2 linked regions of the Oryctolagus cuniculus genome follow. The protein of the gene in region 1 purifies or fractionates together with the protein of each later gene. This does not show direct contact. Links are inferred from orthologs where the notes say so. Each region holds a gene or a part of one and is shown on either strand. Other genes may lie near its edges. The genes, in order: PRDM16 and CTBP1.

The links.
Region 2: the proteins of PRDM16 (region 1) and CTBP1 purify together in Homo sapiens (affinity purification with mass spectrometry; 3 studies listed by BioGRID and IntAct, with this or other methods). This does not show direct contact. The link is inferred for Oryctolagus cuniculus from reciprocal best matches to the Homo sapiens genes PRDM16 and CTBP1.

What each region holds. Positions count from the first base shown.
Region 1 is NC_091438.1:162,972,496-162,979,712, reverse strand, and holds the end of PRDM16 (histone-lysine N-methyltransferase PRDM16), read left to right. Parts: intron 1-142; coding exon 143-376; intron 377-899; coding exon 900-1,074; intron 1,075-2,000; coding exon 2,001-2,135; 3' UTR 2,136-6,197; downstream 6,198-7,217. UniProt on the Homo sapiens protein: Binds DNA and functions as a transcriptional regulator. Displays histone methyltransferase activity and monomethylates 'Lys-9' of histone H3 (H3K9me1) in vitro.
Region 2 is NC_091433.1:410,299-417,515, reverse strand, and holds part of CTBP1 (C-terminal-binding protein 1), read left to right. Parts: intron 1-666; coding exon 667-821; intron 822-2,825; coding exon 2,826-2,970; intron 2,971-3,114; coding exon 3,115-3,321; intron 3,322-6,672; coding exon 6,673-6,887; intron 6,888-7,217. UniProt on the Homo sapiens protein: Corepressor targeting diverse transcription regulators such as GLIS2 or BCL6. Has dehydrogenase activity. Involved in controlling the equilibrium between tubular and stacked structures in the Golgi complex.

The sequences.
Region 1 (7,217 bases):
CAAAAGCTTCCTAGGGGAGAGGCTGGCAGGCCGCGAGGAGCGGGCGGGAAGAGCGGACGGAGCCGGGCCGCCGGCCTTCGGGGTCCGGAGTGAGCAGGGGTCCCCTGAGCGCTGCCCAACTGCCCGCTCACTGTCCCTTCAGGCCGGCGGTCCAGGACCTGGACGGGAGCCCCCAGTGTCCGGGCTTGGCCAGCGAGAAGCCGGAGGACGGGGAGGAGGAGGAGGAGGAGGAGCTGGAGGAGGACGAGGACAGCCTGGCCGGGAAGTCCCAGGAGGACGCCGTGTCGCCCACGCCCGAGCCCCAGGGCACCTACGACGATGAGGAGGACGAGGAGCCGCCCGCCTCCTTGGCCTTGGGCTTTGACCACACCCGAAGGTGCGCAGGGCTCTGAGTGGAGGAAGGTGGCCCCCTCCTCAGCCCCGCCCAGCCGGGGCCTCCCTCCGCCCCCGGCGGGAGCTCAAGGCTTCAGCCCCATGGGCACCCCTGGGGAAGGGCGCTCCTGGCCGGGCCCCTGGGCTGCAGCCCTGCTGGGGCTCTGGGCGCCAGGCCGCTGCTCGCCTCTGACTCCCGGCAGCCGGCGACATCGCCAGCATCCTGATTCCCCCGGGGGAGGCCGCCGCCTCGGCGCCACCCCGGGTCCTGGGAGGGGCAGCCCCACCCTGCCGGAGCTTCCCCCAAGTCGCAGCGAATCAAGGCCTCCCCGGGACCCCGCACGCCCTGTGCACCACTCACGCCTTGGGGCCTCTGCCCCCTCTGTCCTGCCTCCACGTGGTCTCCCGTCCAGGTGTCCGTGTGTCTGTGTGTCCGTCTCCTGTGCGTGTGGCTTGTGCAGGCCCGGAGCCGGGCGCGCGGCCTCGGGGGGCTCACCCCAGGCCCCTCTCCCCGGTCCTTGGTGCAGGTGTGTTGAGGAGCGCGAAGGCGGCCTGTTAGCTCTGGAGCCAATGCCGACCTTCGGGAAGGGGCTGGACCTCCGCAGAGCCGCAGAGGAAGCGTTTGAAGTGAGAGATGTGCTTAACCCCTCCGTAGATTCTGAGGCTTTAAAGCAGACCCTGTACAGGCAGGCTAAGAGCCAGGTAGGTACCCGCCTCCCCGGGGAGCTCGGGACCCCGCCCGACCCTCGGCCCCTGGAGACAGATAGGACCCCTGAGGCCCGAGGGTGCCAGTGGAGCCGGGAGGGGCCGAGAGCAGCCCGGGGCACTGTGGCCTTGCGGCCGTGGGCCCCCTCCCCTGGGCCCCCTCCCTCAGGGCAGCGGGCAGGGTCTGTGAGCAGGTTCCCGGCCACGCTATGGCCTGCAGCCCCAGCCCCCACTTCCCTCTCTGCTGTGGGCCAGTGCGACCCACAGCCCCGTGCCCGGGGGCGGCCACTCAGCCGGGTGGCCCCTGCTGCTAAGCTGCAGCCGTGACCAGGGCCAGGGAGTCACTAGGCCCCGACGCCCTGGCCTCCGGGCCCCAGCGTAGGCGGCCGCAGTGCCCACCTGCTGTCTCCCTGCAGCCGGCCCCCCAGACAGCCTCGCCCCGTCTCAGCTACAGCCGTCTGCATGTCTGTCTTTCGTCTTCCTGCTAATTCTGTCCGGGTGTCGACTTGGGTGCCTCCCCAGCACCCCGTGCTCGGCCCCGTCTCTCCCCCACCGCACCGCCGAATCATTCCGTGGCCTGCAGAGGCTTCCGGTGCCTACTCCCAGAGCGGCTCTGGGGTCCCCAGGCCCGGCAGGAGCGCAGGGTCTCACAGGAACTCCCACCTGTGCCCAGAGCAGACACCTGCGCTTAACTCCCGATCACCAACCGAACCACGCAGGGGCGGGGCAGGGTGACCGCGAGCGAGCCCCTGGCCAGGACGGGGACTCTTGGCGTCGCTCTGGGCAGGAGGGATGGCCCTTCTCCCTCCCCGCTGCAGGGCAGGGGAGACTCTGGGTCTCCCTGGCCCCGCTGCCCTCCGCCCCACAGTGTGGGCCAGGGGGAGGCTCCCTGCTCACGGCCCGCCTGCGTGTCCCCCCCACAGGCATACGCAATGATGCTGTCCCTCTCGGAGGATGCTGCCCTCCACACCCCCTCCCAGAGCTCGCTGGACGCTTGGCTGAACATGGCGGGAGCCGCCTCGGAGTCCGGCGCCTTTAACCCCATGAACCACCTCTGATGGGCCTGGAGTCCAGAGCGAGGGTGCCGGCTGCCCAGGATGAAGGCGAGGCCAGGGAGAAGCCCCGTGTCACCTCCTCCGACCACCCCCACAGCCGTCCCCTGCCTGCGTGGGCCGCGTCGAACTTTCCTGATGAAGACTCAGAAGCTGCAAGCCCCGGGGCTGGGGGGAGCTCCCTCCTCATCCCTGGAAACCGGCCCTGGGCCTGGTCGGTCGAGCCCAGCCCTCGCCTCCCGGAGCTGCCGCTCCAAAGCAGCCCCAGGCCGGGCCAGGAGCTGGGCCGCTTCCGGGCGCCCGGAGTCACCGAGGAAGGGACCGGCCCGGGGCAGGTGCGCTCTGCCGAGACCGGGCGCGGGCGCTTTTTATAATGAGAATGACAAGAGTGACGCTTTTGGTAATCTTATTGACTACAGATTCTATTTAAGCATGTGGGTTTTAAAAATAGACAGTATTTTTTAAAAATCAAAAAAATGACTTGCAAATTGTTTTTTAAAAGTAATTTTGCATTGCTTTGAAATTTCAGCTTCTCGCAAACCCGGGCGCTGGGAGCCAGCACTGTGCTTGGGCGAGCTCTTTATACTGTAGATAACGGAGAGATTTTCTATCTCGGATCCCATTTGTACAAGCCAGGTTGATTCCGGGTGCCCCGAGGCAGAGCGTGGGGTGCAGACTGGACCGAGGCGTCTCAGACGCGGTGCCCGGGCTGCAGGCCTGCCCGGGGCCAGGACCTGGAGGTGTGCCCGCCTGGGCGGCCTGGAGCTCCTGCCAGGGCCTCCACGCGGCTGCTGGAGAACCCACGGGCGACCACCCCAGACTCCCCGGCTTCGTGGGGAAGCCAGGAGCCCGAGGCTCAGGCCCTCACCCGGGGGTGGCCGGGGGCCCTGGCCACCCTTCCAGAGGTGGGGCCTATTGGCCACATTCTGGCTCCGTGTCCTGCCCGTGGCCACCCAGGGCGGGGCGGGGGCTGCGCAGCTCGGCTGCACCAGGACGCCAAGCGCTACCTGTGCCTACGGCCCCAGGTCGGCCACCCCGCCGTGCCACCCTTGGCGCAGGCTCCTGGCCAGACGTCCGGGGCTGCAGAGAGAGCGCCCAGCCCCCGGGCACGGCAGTGGCTTCTCCACTGGGACGGGCTTTAAATTATTCCCATGGGGCCAACTTCGAAGTATAATTTTTCCGTGATGGAATTCACCTTAATCTGTATATAACTTGTAATTTTTCTAATCATTTCTTTTCTTATTTTATTTCTTCCTTAACAGTATTTTTTTTGGCATTAGACATTCTTATTGTGAAGAAATGATGTTAATATAAGTATCTAGTGAGGGACCAAAACCGTGTATAAGGTTGTGTGTTGTGTGATGCGTCACCAGGGAGGGCGGCCAGCTGACGTGCCAAATACCCCGCCCCGCCCGCCGCGACTCCTGCCGCCGCCGCCGCCCGTGCCCAGACAATCACGCCCTGATCAGTCTGAGTTTCAGACGCATTCGCATTGACGACGAGTGTTCTATTTATTTCTTTTGTCGTTTGGGGAAAAAAACAAATCCTCATACTAGTGTCCCACTAAGAAGAGAAAAAATCACCCACGTTGCCCTTAAGAGGAAACCGCGAGAACGCAGACGACTGCGGCCGCGGCCGCGTGGACTTGTCATTCCAAGGACACCTCCTCCGTGTGCGCCCCGGGGGCCCTGACGCACGCGTGTCCTGGCTGCTCCAGGCCAAAGACAGTGGGTGCCGGGGTCCAGGCTCCTGCCGGAGACTCACGGCAGAGAGGCCCCTGTGGGCGACGCAGCGCTGCAGGTCCTGGGGTCAGGGGTCAGCCCTCGCCGGATCTACCTGGACGCAAGACGGAGGCCGCCTAGCACGAGCGTGTGCAGCGGCAAGGCGGGAGCCGAGGAGCTGGCGCGGCCCCGTCGGAAGCCTGCAGCCCAGCCGCAGCCGGGCCGCCAGGTACCGACCACGTAGGAAGTCTCCCCTCATCTGAACGCGACCCTGTAAACACCCTATTTCTGTAAACCAAATTATATGATTTCTCCTGCGAACGAATGAGCTGTGTGCTTCTTTGTGTGCTAAGACTCCTCCTCTGTCCGTCTCTCTCTCTCTCTCTCTCTCTCTCTCCCACGTGTCTCTCCTGGGCAGTGACCGAGCAGGCAGGGGCTGCCCTCCCCTGGGCCCTCCGCGGCCCCGGGGCGCTAGCTCCGCCCCCTCTCTGGAGATTTCTCTTCTTCCCGGAGAGTCGCCGACAGTGAGGACCACCAGCCGTTCCCCCTCGAGCATGTCCCTACTCCCACCACTTGGCATTAGGGTTGGGGGGCTCTGTCCCAAAACCCCCCAACCAAGAGAGCACTGATCTCCCATGCTGGTGCACCCCCAAAACATGGCCTCCACCAGCCGGTCCTGCGCACCTGGCTTGACCCTGCGCCAGCTCCAGCCCCAGCCCAGCAGTGCCTGGGCCCTCAGCCGGCCACTGTCAGGACCAGGAGGCCCACTGAGAGGCAGGGAGCCATGATGCCGGCCCCCGGAACGCCAGTGGGAGCCAGGTCACCGAGCAGCACAGGCAGGCACTGGGCGGGGCTGCTGGCTGGCGGACCACTGCGGGGGTTCACACAAGGCTACTACCCTGGTGCCGACCTTGCTCCCCAAAACTGAAATCCAGGGGCCCCTCCCGCTCCTTCCCTCCGCCACCCTGCAGCCCTTGTGAGTCAGCACCCTCCCCCCAGGCCCCCCGCGCCCCCGGGACGATCAGGACATGCGGAGGCCCCTGGCCTCGGGCCAGGAGCAGGTCCCCAGAGTCCCTGACCACACCCAGGGCAGGGATTCCAGCGGCCTCCCCAGCCCCGGGCACGGCTCAGTGCACGGACCGGGCACAGGTGTGGGAGAGGCCGCCAGGCCGGGGCCTTCCTGTGCTAGGTCCCTGCAGGCCCTCCCCGGCCCCGCACAGCCCTGGTCCCCGGGGTCTGGCCCTTGGTTCCTCTGCCTGGCTGCTGCCCCGGGAGCTGGGAGCCCCTCGCCTGAGTGCTTTTACCACGTGTGCAGGCCTCCGAGCCTCGAAGCACTGGACTGCAGCCCCCGCCCCCCGCCCGCATAACTGAACCTGCTAAGAGTTCTGTGCACTGTGCTTCCTGGGGGCGGGGGCAGCGCCCAGCAGGTGGGGGCAGGGCGTGAAAGCCACAAAGCTCTGCACCTTGAGCGAAACTGTGACAAACACGTTCTCGCGTTCTCCCGAGAACTTTTCCTCCCTCCTCCCACGCCGCGTTTGCCACGTGACCCTTTAGTGCCACGCATTCCTTGGGCCCACTTCTGGGAAAACAAACAAGACGGGGCCGGGCAGCGCGGGTCTCCCAGGTCTCCCAGCGTGTGAGCCACGTGCAGGCAGCCGGCCTGAGGTTCCGCCAGCAGCTCGCCACCACGGGCACAGAGGGCTGGTGGCTGCCCGTGCACGCGTGTGCGGCTCGATACTTTGTAACGGAGAGCATCTGTCCTGCTGCCCTTGGCCGTTGTTACATTACAGATCTGCCTTAGTTTCTGCTTCGTTTTTGTTCCTTTTAGAGCTGTATAGTGTTGAAAAATAAATCAAAAGTAAATGTCTGGTTTTCATATGTTTTTTTAAAAAAAAGAAAATGAAAAAAGACCCCAGGAAGGAGGCTGGTGCTTGTCCCGCATCCCCTGGTTGTGAGTTGCTCCTGTTGTCTGTAGTGAACTGTGCGTGACTCGTGCTCGGCGGTCTTCACCGTGTGTCCGTGAATCTTCACCACGTGGAGAAGCCCGTGGGTGCACTCACCGGCCGCGCGACCCGGGCTGGGTCCGAATGTGGAGCTCGCGGCGGGAGAAGGCGGGGATGGGAGGAGGTGAGGGGAGCGACCCTTTCCAAGAGCGGTTTTGCGAATTTCATTTCGATGCTTGTGATGCAGACAAATGTGCTTGCGTACGAATTCCTTCCGTGACGCCGGGAGCAGCCGGATCTGAGGTCGATGCTGTAGACTAGAACTGTGTAGCCCGTGTCATCGTCCCGGCTCCCGCCAGCTTACACAGGAGATTGATATGCAATAAATCTGTGTGCTTTTCCAAGCCTCGCGCTGCCTGGGTGCTTCATTGAGGGGGGACCCGGGGTGGGGGCTGCGCATTGAATCCAGGCTGGGCCTGCGGCCGGGACCCCTGCTGTGGGCGCCAGGCCCCTCCCTCCCCTGCCAGGGCAGGCACCGGGCTGCTCCCAGTGACTGTAGAACAACCATCTCAGGGAGGGCACCCACCGCCCTGGACGGCCCCACAGTGAGAGCACTGGCCTCCGGGGGTGTCCACTCCCAGCTGTGTCCACCCCAGGTATGCCAGCACCAGGCGTCCACCCCAGGTGTGCTGGCACCCAGGTATCCGTGCCAGGTGTGCCAGCACCAGGCGTCCTCCCCAGGTGTGCCAGCACCCAGGTATCCGTGTCAGGTGTGCCAGCACCCAGGTATCTGCCCCACGTATGCCAGCACCCAGGTGTCCTCCCCAGGTGTGCCAGCACCCAGGCGTCCGCCCCAGGTATGCCAGCACCAGGTGTCCGTCGCAGGTGTGCCAACACCCAGGAGTCCTCCCCAGGTGTGCCAGCACCCAGGCGTCCGCCCCAGGTATGCCAGCACCAGGTATCCGTGCCAGGTGTGCCAACACCCAGGAGTCCTCCCCAGGTGTACCTGCCATCAGATGTTGTGGGGCCAAGTTGCCCAACCCCAGGTCCCATCCCAGAAACCCTTGCTACAACCTCCTGGTGATGCGGCAAGTTCTCTGGCAGAGAGGGTGGGGGAGCCACCCTAGACAGCTGGTCTCAACCTGCCCTCCCCCAGCCGGTCTGCCACACCTCGAGGCGTCCCCAGCTAGGACCTGCTCATCATCTGACAGGTGAAGTCCAGGTGGGCAGGGCCCGCGAGAGGCCCTGGGGCGGCAGAGATGCAGGCCCCGCCCACCTCAGGGTGCTCCTCTGCTCCAGCCCCTGTCCAGCGCCCCAGGACGTCGTCTTGGGGTCCACTGGCTTCCAGAGAGAAGCCCACTATGGGTAAACCCCAAAGGAAAAGCCCGGCCACCCCAGGCCAGCCCCCCCCCACAGCCTCTCTA
Region 2 (7,217 bases), on another chromosome or scaffold:
ACCTGCACCAGGAGCCCTCGGGTCGGCATGCGCCGTGCCCCCGCCCTGGCCCCCCCGAGGATCCTGGGAGTCCTCCGCTGTGGCTGCCTCTCCATCCTCCCCTGCGCCCCCTCCCTGAAACGCGGCCTGTGGGGTGGACGGCTCAGTGCCACCCGTCTGCGGGCGCCTCTGCTCCAGTGCCTGGGTCGGGCGCTGGGTCCCTCGCCGCGGCCCCCCATCACACCCCAGAAGCCCTGGTTTCTCTCCCAGCCGCAGAGGTTTCTCGGTGCCGCGATGCCAACCTGGTGCCAGTCACTCCTCCTGGGAGGGTGGGGGCCCCGTGCGCACCTGAGCCCCCTTCTGTGTGGCGCCGCCTTGAGGGAGGGGACGTCCACTCGGGGAGGGGCTCCCAGCAGGGGTTTTCCTGGCGCCCGTCACGTTCACGTCTGCACGCCACGTGTCAATCAGGCTGCCCCTGCCGCCAGGACAGAGGCCCCTCCCACTGGAGGCCGCTCTCACCTGCCCGGGGGTCTCGGGGACCTGCGCCTGGTGGTGGTTCTCGGCCCGTGTCTACTGGGGTGCCCGTGCGCTGTGGCGAGCTCCAGTTTCCTGAGAAGACCGACGTGATGGGCAGAGGGGCGGCCCCCGCCCTGGCCGTGGAGCTGAGTGCCCGCTCCTGTCTTGCAGGCGTCCGACCTCCGATCATGAACGGGCCCATGCACCCCCGGCCCCTAGTGGCCCTGCTCGACGGCCGGGACTGCACCGTGGAGATGCCCATCCTGAAAGACGTGGCCACCGTGGCCTTCTGTGACGCGCAGTCCACGCAGGAGATCCACGAGAAGGTACCTGTGCGCCCGGGCGAGGCGGGCTGGGGCGAGGCTCCCTGCGGGGCATCGGAGGAGGTGGGGCTTGGGAGGCCGAAGGCTGGAGCGGCCTCCTGGCTGGACGCCCGCAGGCAGTGCCACCGCGGGGCCCTCAGCTGCCGTAGTTCACGGGATGGACACGACCCGCTCTCTGGTGCCCCCCAGCGGTCACAGCAGCTCCTGCAGTTTGCTAAAGATCCAGGCCCTGTGAGAGACCCGAGCGTGGCCTCTGGGGCCTGGGCAGGGACGAGCTGGTCGCGAGCCCAGGCCCCGGGGCCGCACCTCAGAGGGCCTTCAGCGTTCCGCACGTGTGAGGGCCGCCCTGGGGGCACCGGACCGATCCAGGTGGTGGGCCAGGCCCCCAGGCGCCTCCCAGCCCCACCTGGGTCCCTCCGGCAGCTGTGAGCAGGACCAGGCCGGCACCAGGTCCTCGACACCATGGCAGCACCGTGGGCCGCGGGGGCAGGGAGATCTCAGACCACGGGAGGGGCCCAGGTGCCCTGGGCAGGACGCGGGGCCTGGCCACTCCCTCCCTGCACTCTCCCCGCGGCTCAAGCTCAGGGTAGGAAGGCTGCCGCTGTGTGTGCACGCATGTGTGACGTGTGCACGTGACACGTGCAGCGTGTGCAGTGTGCGTGACGTGGGGTATGTGCAGCGTGTGGCATGTGGCGTGTGTGTATGTGTTACGTGTGACGTGTGCAGCGTGTGGCATGTGGCGTGTGTGTATGTGTTACGTGTGACGTGTGCAGCGTGTGGCATGTGGCGTGTGTGTATGTGTTACGTGTGACGTGTGCAGCGTGTGGCATGTGGCGTGTGTGTATGTGTTACGTGTGACGTGTGCAGCGTGTGGCATGTGGCGTGTGTGTATGTGTTACGTGTGACGTGTGCAGCGTGTGGCATGTGGCGTGTGTGTATGTGTTACGTGTGACGTGTGCAGCGTGTGGCACGTGGCGTGTGTGTATGTGTTACGTGTGACGTGTGCAGCGTGTGGCATGTGGCGTGTGTGTATGTGTTACGTGTGACGTGTGCAGCGTGTGGCACGTGGCGTGTGTGTATGTGTTACGTGTGCAGCGTGTGGCACGTGGCGTGTGTGTATGTGTTACGTGTGACGTGTGCAGCGTGTGGCATGTGGCGTGTGTGTATGTGTTACGTGTGACGTGTGCAGCGTGTGGCATGTGACGTGTGTGTATGTGTTACGTGTGACGTGTGCAGCGTGTGGCATGTGGCGTGTGTGTATGTGTTACGTGTGACGTGTGCAGCGTGTGGCATGTGGCGTGTGTGTATGTGTTACGTGTGACGTGTGCAGCGTGTGGCACGTGGCGTGTGTGTATGTGTTACGTGTGCAGCGTGTGGCACGTGGCGTGTGTGTATGTGTTACGTGTGACGTGTGCAGCGTGTGGCATGTGGCGTGTGTGTGTTACGTGTGACATGTGCAGCGTGTGGGATGTGTGTGCCGCATGTGGGGTGTGTGTAGGGTGTGGGACGTGCGCCCCCACCAGGCCGCAGCCTGTGCTCCCGCGGCCGTGTCCACCCCGGCCGAGCACGGGGCGATGGCCTGCACAGCTGAGGCCGGGCCACCCTGCCAGCTGGGTCGTGGGAATGGAGCCTTGTCAGGGCCCCGGCTGTGCCCAGGGTCAGCGTGTGCGCCCTGGACTCCCGTGTCACGTCCCAGGACCACGCGCGTGCTGTGGGCCGTGGGGACAGCGTTTCTGGGTGGGTTTGTCACTGGGGACTCGTGTGTGTTTCAGGGCTCACCCCTGCTGGGGGTCACGGCCAGTGGCCCCGTTCCTGCTCCACTGCTGTCTGGGCTCAGGCTTGGGCCACGGCTCCTCAGAGCCCCCCTTTGCCGTGGCTGTGGCCCCCCACGGTGCTCAGGGCTGGGGGCCCTGCTGTACCCCACGCTCTGCCCCCCGCCACAGGTGCTGACGAGGCCGTGGGCGCCCTCGTGTACCCCACGCTCTGTCCCCTTCCCCTCCCCCACAGGTGCTGAACGAGGCCGTGGGCGCCCTCATGTACCACACCATCACGCTGACCAGGGAGGACCTGGAGAAGTTCAAGGCCCTGCGCGTCATCGTCCGCATTGGCAGCGGCTTCGACAACATCGACATCAAGTCAGCCGGGGACTTGGGTAGGTGCCCGTCCCTGCCGCCCAGGCCCCGCCCCGCGTGGGGCTCCCACAGGAGTCCGCAGCCTGGGGCTGGGCTGACTGCCGTGTGGCCCCCGAGTCAGTCCCACGCCTGTCACGGGCCAGGCTGACCCTGTGTCCCCACAGGCATCGCCGTGTGCAACGTGCCCGCCGCGGCCGTGGAGGAGACGGCGGACTCCACCATGTGCCACGTCCTCAATCTGTACCGGCGCACGACGTGGCTGCACCAGGCGCTGCGGGAGGGCACGCGGGTGCAGAGCGTGGAGCAGATCCGGGAGGTGGCCTCGGGGGCCGCGAGGATCCGCGGGGAGACCCTGGGCATCATCGGACTGGGTGCGTGGCCGCTGGCTCGGCAAAGGATGGGGGGCAGCCCGGGGGGGCGCCGTGGGCATCACACACGCACATACACAGACGTCACGCAGATGTCAGCAGCCGTCACGGGTGTCACACACACAACATGGACGTCACACACAGGTGTCAGCAGCTATCACATCACATACACACATGGATGTCACACTCATGTCAACAGTTCTAACGGGCATCACGTGACACGGGCACAAGAACATCACAGGAATGTCACGTGCGTCACACAAATGACAGGCACACGTGGGTATCACATGGGTGTCATGACACAGGGACATGGGTGTCCCATGAACATCAAGGCATCACACGGGTATCATATGCAGACGAGATGGCCATATGTGGGCATCACATGGGTATCACAGGCATGATATACCTGGGCACCACGCCTGTGTCACAGGCATCACGTGGGTGTCATGGGCACACACGTGGCTGATACGAGCACAGGGACACGGCTATCGGGCACACAGGCCTGAGAGTTGTCACACGTGGGGAACACGTGGGCGTTGCATGGGCACAGGCACCAGATGTGCAGCCAGGTGGGTGCTGCCATCAGGTGAGGGTGCCCAGAGCCTGTGCCCCTGGGGGTGGTCTCTGTCCCGTCCGCTTCCTTGTCACGTGTGGGCGCCAGGCCCCAGCATGGCCTAGAGAGGCACACGTGTGAGTCTGGGTGGCCCCGGAAGTGTCGTGCAGGGAGCCGGGGCTGGGAGAGGGGGTCCCGTGTGAGCCCCAGAAGCCGTCTCGCGGGGCCTCAGGCCTTTCTCTGGAAGGCGCTGGCCCTGGCTGTGGCCCCAAGCCTGGTTCTCGGCCGGGCATTGCGCTGACCAGGGGTACGGGCTGTATTGCCTGGGGGTGGGTGGGTGCTGTGGCTGTCCGGGCCTGCCCCTACTGGCGGCGTCCTCCGGGTCCCTGGCACACGCGATTTGCAGAACGGGCAGAAGCTGGGCTGTGGGAGGTTTGCTGTGGACACACGGCCTGTGGCACGGGCAGCTGTGGCCTGCGGGGCTCCTGCCGTGGTCTCGGCATCTGGGGTGCCCTGCTCTGGCGGCCAGTGTCCAGTGTGGCCTGAGCCTGTGGCCCTCGGTGTGGTTCTCCTGAGCCTGGGGCCTTCTGGGAGCCGAGGGCTGAGGTTCTGTGTCCGGGGACGCCCCCGAGTGCCGCAGCCCCACTGGGCAGACCTGAGCCCTGCCCACGCCCCTGTGTGTGCCCCTCTGTGGGTTCCACGGGTGACCCATGTGATGGCCACTGCTGGCCAAGTGGAGCAGCTGTCTCCCTGCTGCTGCTGGCACGGGGCACCTCTGCACCCCATGCGGGTCTGAGGTGGGGTCGTGACCTCGGCACCCTGTGTGTTCCCCAGTCGGGCAGCGGCTTCAGGTGTCACTCAGGACCTCCTGCTGGTGAAGGGGACCCCACTGCGTGACTGCACCCCTGTGTGTGTGTGTGTGTGTGTGTGTGTGTGTGTGTGTGAGGGAGAGACAGGCAGAGTGAGAGTGACAGAGACAGAGCGAGCGTGACCGAGACAGTGACAGACACAGACGGGAGAGTGACAGAGCAAGCCCCATCTGCCGTTCACCCCCCAGATGCCCGCACAGCAGGGGCTTGGCTGGAGCCAGGACCAGCAGCTCCGTCCAGGCCCTGTAGGTGAAGGGCTCAGCGCTGGGGCCCTCTCCTGCCCCCACCCCCGCCCCCGCCCCCAGCACTGGCAGTGCCCTGCGCCCCGCCCCACCGGTCCTTTACCCATAGCTGCAGAGAAAGTTCTAGAACCATGGCTGGGGCTTCACGGGGGAGGCCTCTCCTGGCCGTGCCGTGTGCACTTTTCCAAATGTCTGAGACCCCACCCCTGCCCTGCTGTGGGGGCCCCAGGATTTCTTTCTTTCTTTCTTTTTTTTTTTTTTTTTTTTTAAGTTTTATGTATTTATTTGAAAGTCAGAGTTACACAGAGAGAGGAGAGGCAGAGAGAGAGAGAGAGGTCTTCCATCCGCTGGTTCACTCCCCAGATGACCTCAACAGCCGGAGCTGTGCCGATTCAAAGCTAGGAGCCAGGAGCTTCTTCCGGGTCTCCCACGTGGGTGCAGGGGCCCAAGGACTTGAGCCACCTTCCACTGCTTTCCCAGGCCATGGTAGGAGCTGGGTTGGAAGTGGAGCAGCCGGGACTGGAACCGGCGCCCATATGGAATGCCGGCCCTGCAGGCGGCAGTTTTACCCGCTCTGCCACAGCGCCAGCCCCCTGGGTATTTGTTACCATGCCCCAGACCCCTCAGCGGCTCCTGGGACCCTGGCCCACGTTTTGTGAGTTGGGGTCTCCACCCCCGTGCAGACGGCCCCTGCTTGCAACTCATCCTGGAGGTTGCTGCACCTGTGTGTCTGTGAGAGACGTGGGTTCCGGAACGCTCCTGCTCTGGGTGGCGCCTGTCCTGTCTGTTTTCTAGAATGTTCTCTACTATGCCTGCTCTTCCTGTGACCAGGACGTCGCCCGCCTCTCTGTGTCCTCTCGTTCCTCACGGGGGACCCTCCCAGGAGTCCCGTCCACACCCAAGGCGGTCCCCTGGCCGGCAGCCGGGCTAGGGCCCAAGCCGCCTGATGGCTTCCCTTCCGTCCGAGGCGTTGCTGGCCCGTGATCTGCATGGAGCGTGTTCTGAGCTTTGTGCCCTGGCCTCCGTCCCTCCAAGAGGGTGGCATGCGCCCACACCCTAGCCCTGCCCCGCTCGTCCCGTGTTGGGGCAGCTTCCCCTCCCGCCCGGGCTCCTGGAGCCCAGCCCGTGTCGTCCCTGGCAGCACAGCAGGCACGCGAGGAGCCAGCCTCCGCCCTGACCGCAGCCCAGCGCTCGGCTGCTCGCGTGGTGGGGCTGGGCAGCAGGTGGGTCCTGGCGGGGCCACAGCCGGCACCGGGGCTGGGGAAGCGCACCTGCCCGCCCTGCACCGCTTCTCAGGGCCAAGCTCAGAGCAGCGGCTCCCAGGTTGCCGTCTCCCCTGGTGGCGGCCGGAATTCAGATCCAGAGACACCGCTGAGCTGGACTTGAAGCCGGACCAGAGGTGTGGCCACGGTGCATGTGTGCACAGCATTGTGTGTGGTTCCAGGCATCTCGTGTCACCCCTGCAGAGGGGACAGAGCTGGCTGTGGGGCTGACTCTGGCCACAAGGACGTGGGGCTCATGGGGTGCAGACACGGGGCTCGCGGTGGTCATGCGGCACCCACCACGGTGTTCACGCGGTGTTCACGCGGCACCTGTCTCCGTGGCCATGTGACACGGCTCACACGGTGGTCGTGTTCTGGTCTCATGGTGACCACGTGGCATGTGTCTCATGTGGGGTCTCCACCCGCAGGCCGTGTGGGGCAGGCGGTGGCGCTGCGGGCCAAGGCGTTCGGCTTCAGCGTGCTGTTCTACGACCCGTACCTGCCGGACGGCGTGGAGCGGGCGCTGGGGCTGCAGCGCGTGGGCACCCTGCAGGACCTGCTGTTCCACAGCGACTGCGTGACCCTGCACTGCGGCCTCAACGAGCACAACCACCACCTCATCAACGACTTCACCGTGAAGCAGGTGCCGCCGGGCCTGTACACTGTCCACGGGGCGGCCCTGTCCCCTGTCCATGGGGCCTGTCCACTGTCCATGGGGGCCTGTGCGTGGGGCGGCCCTGTCCACTGTCCACGGGGCCTGTCCACTGTCCACGGGGCTGCCCTGTGCACGGGGCCTGTGCACGGGGCTGCCCTGTCCACGGGGGTCTCTGCCTGTGGCCCTGTCCATGGGGCCTGTGCACGGGGTGGCCCTGTCCACGGGGTCTGTCCATGGGGCCTGTCCACGGGGCCTGTGCACGGGACTGCCCTGTCCACAGGGGCCTCTGCCTGTGGCCCTGTCCATGGGGCGGTCCTG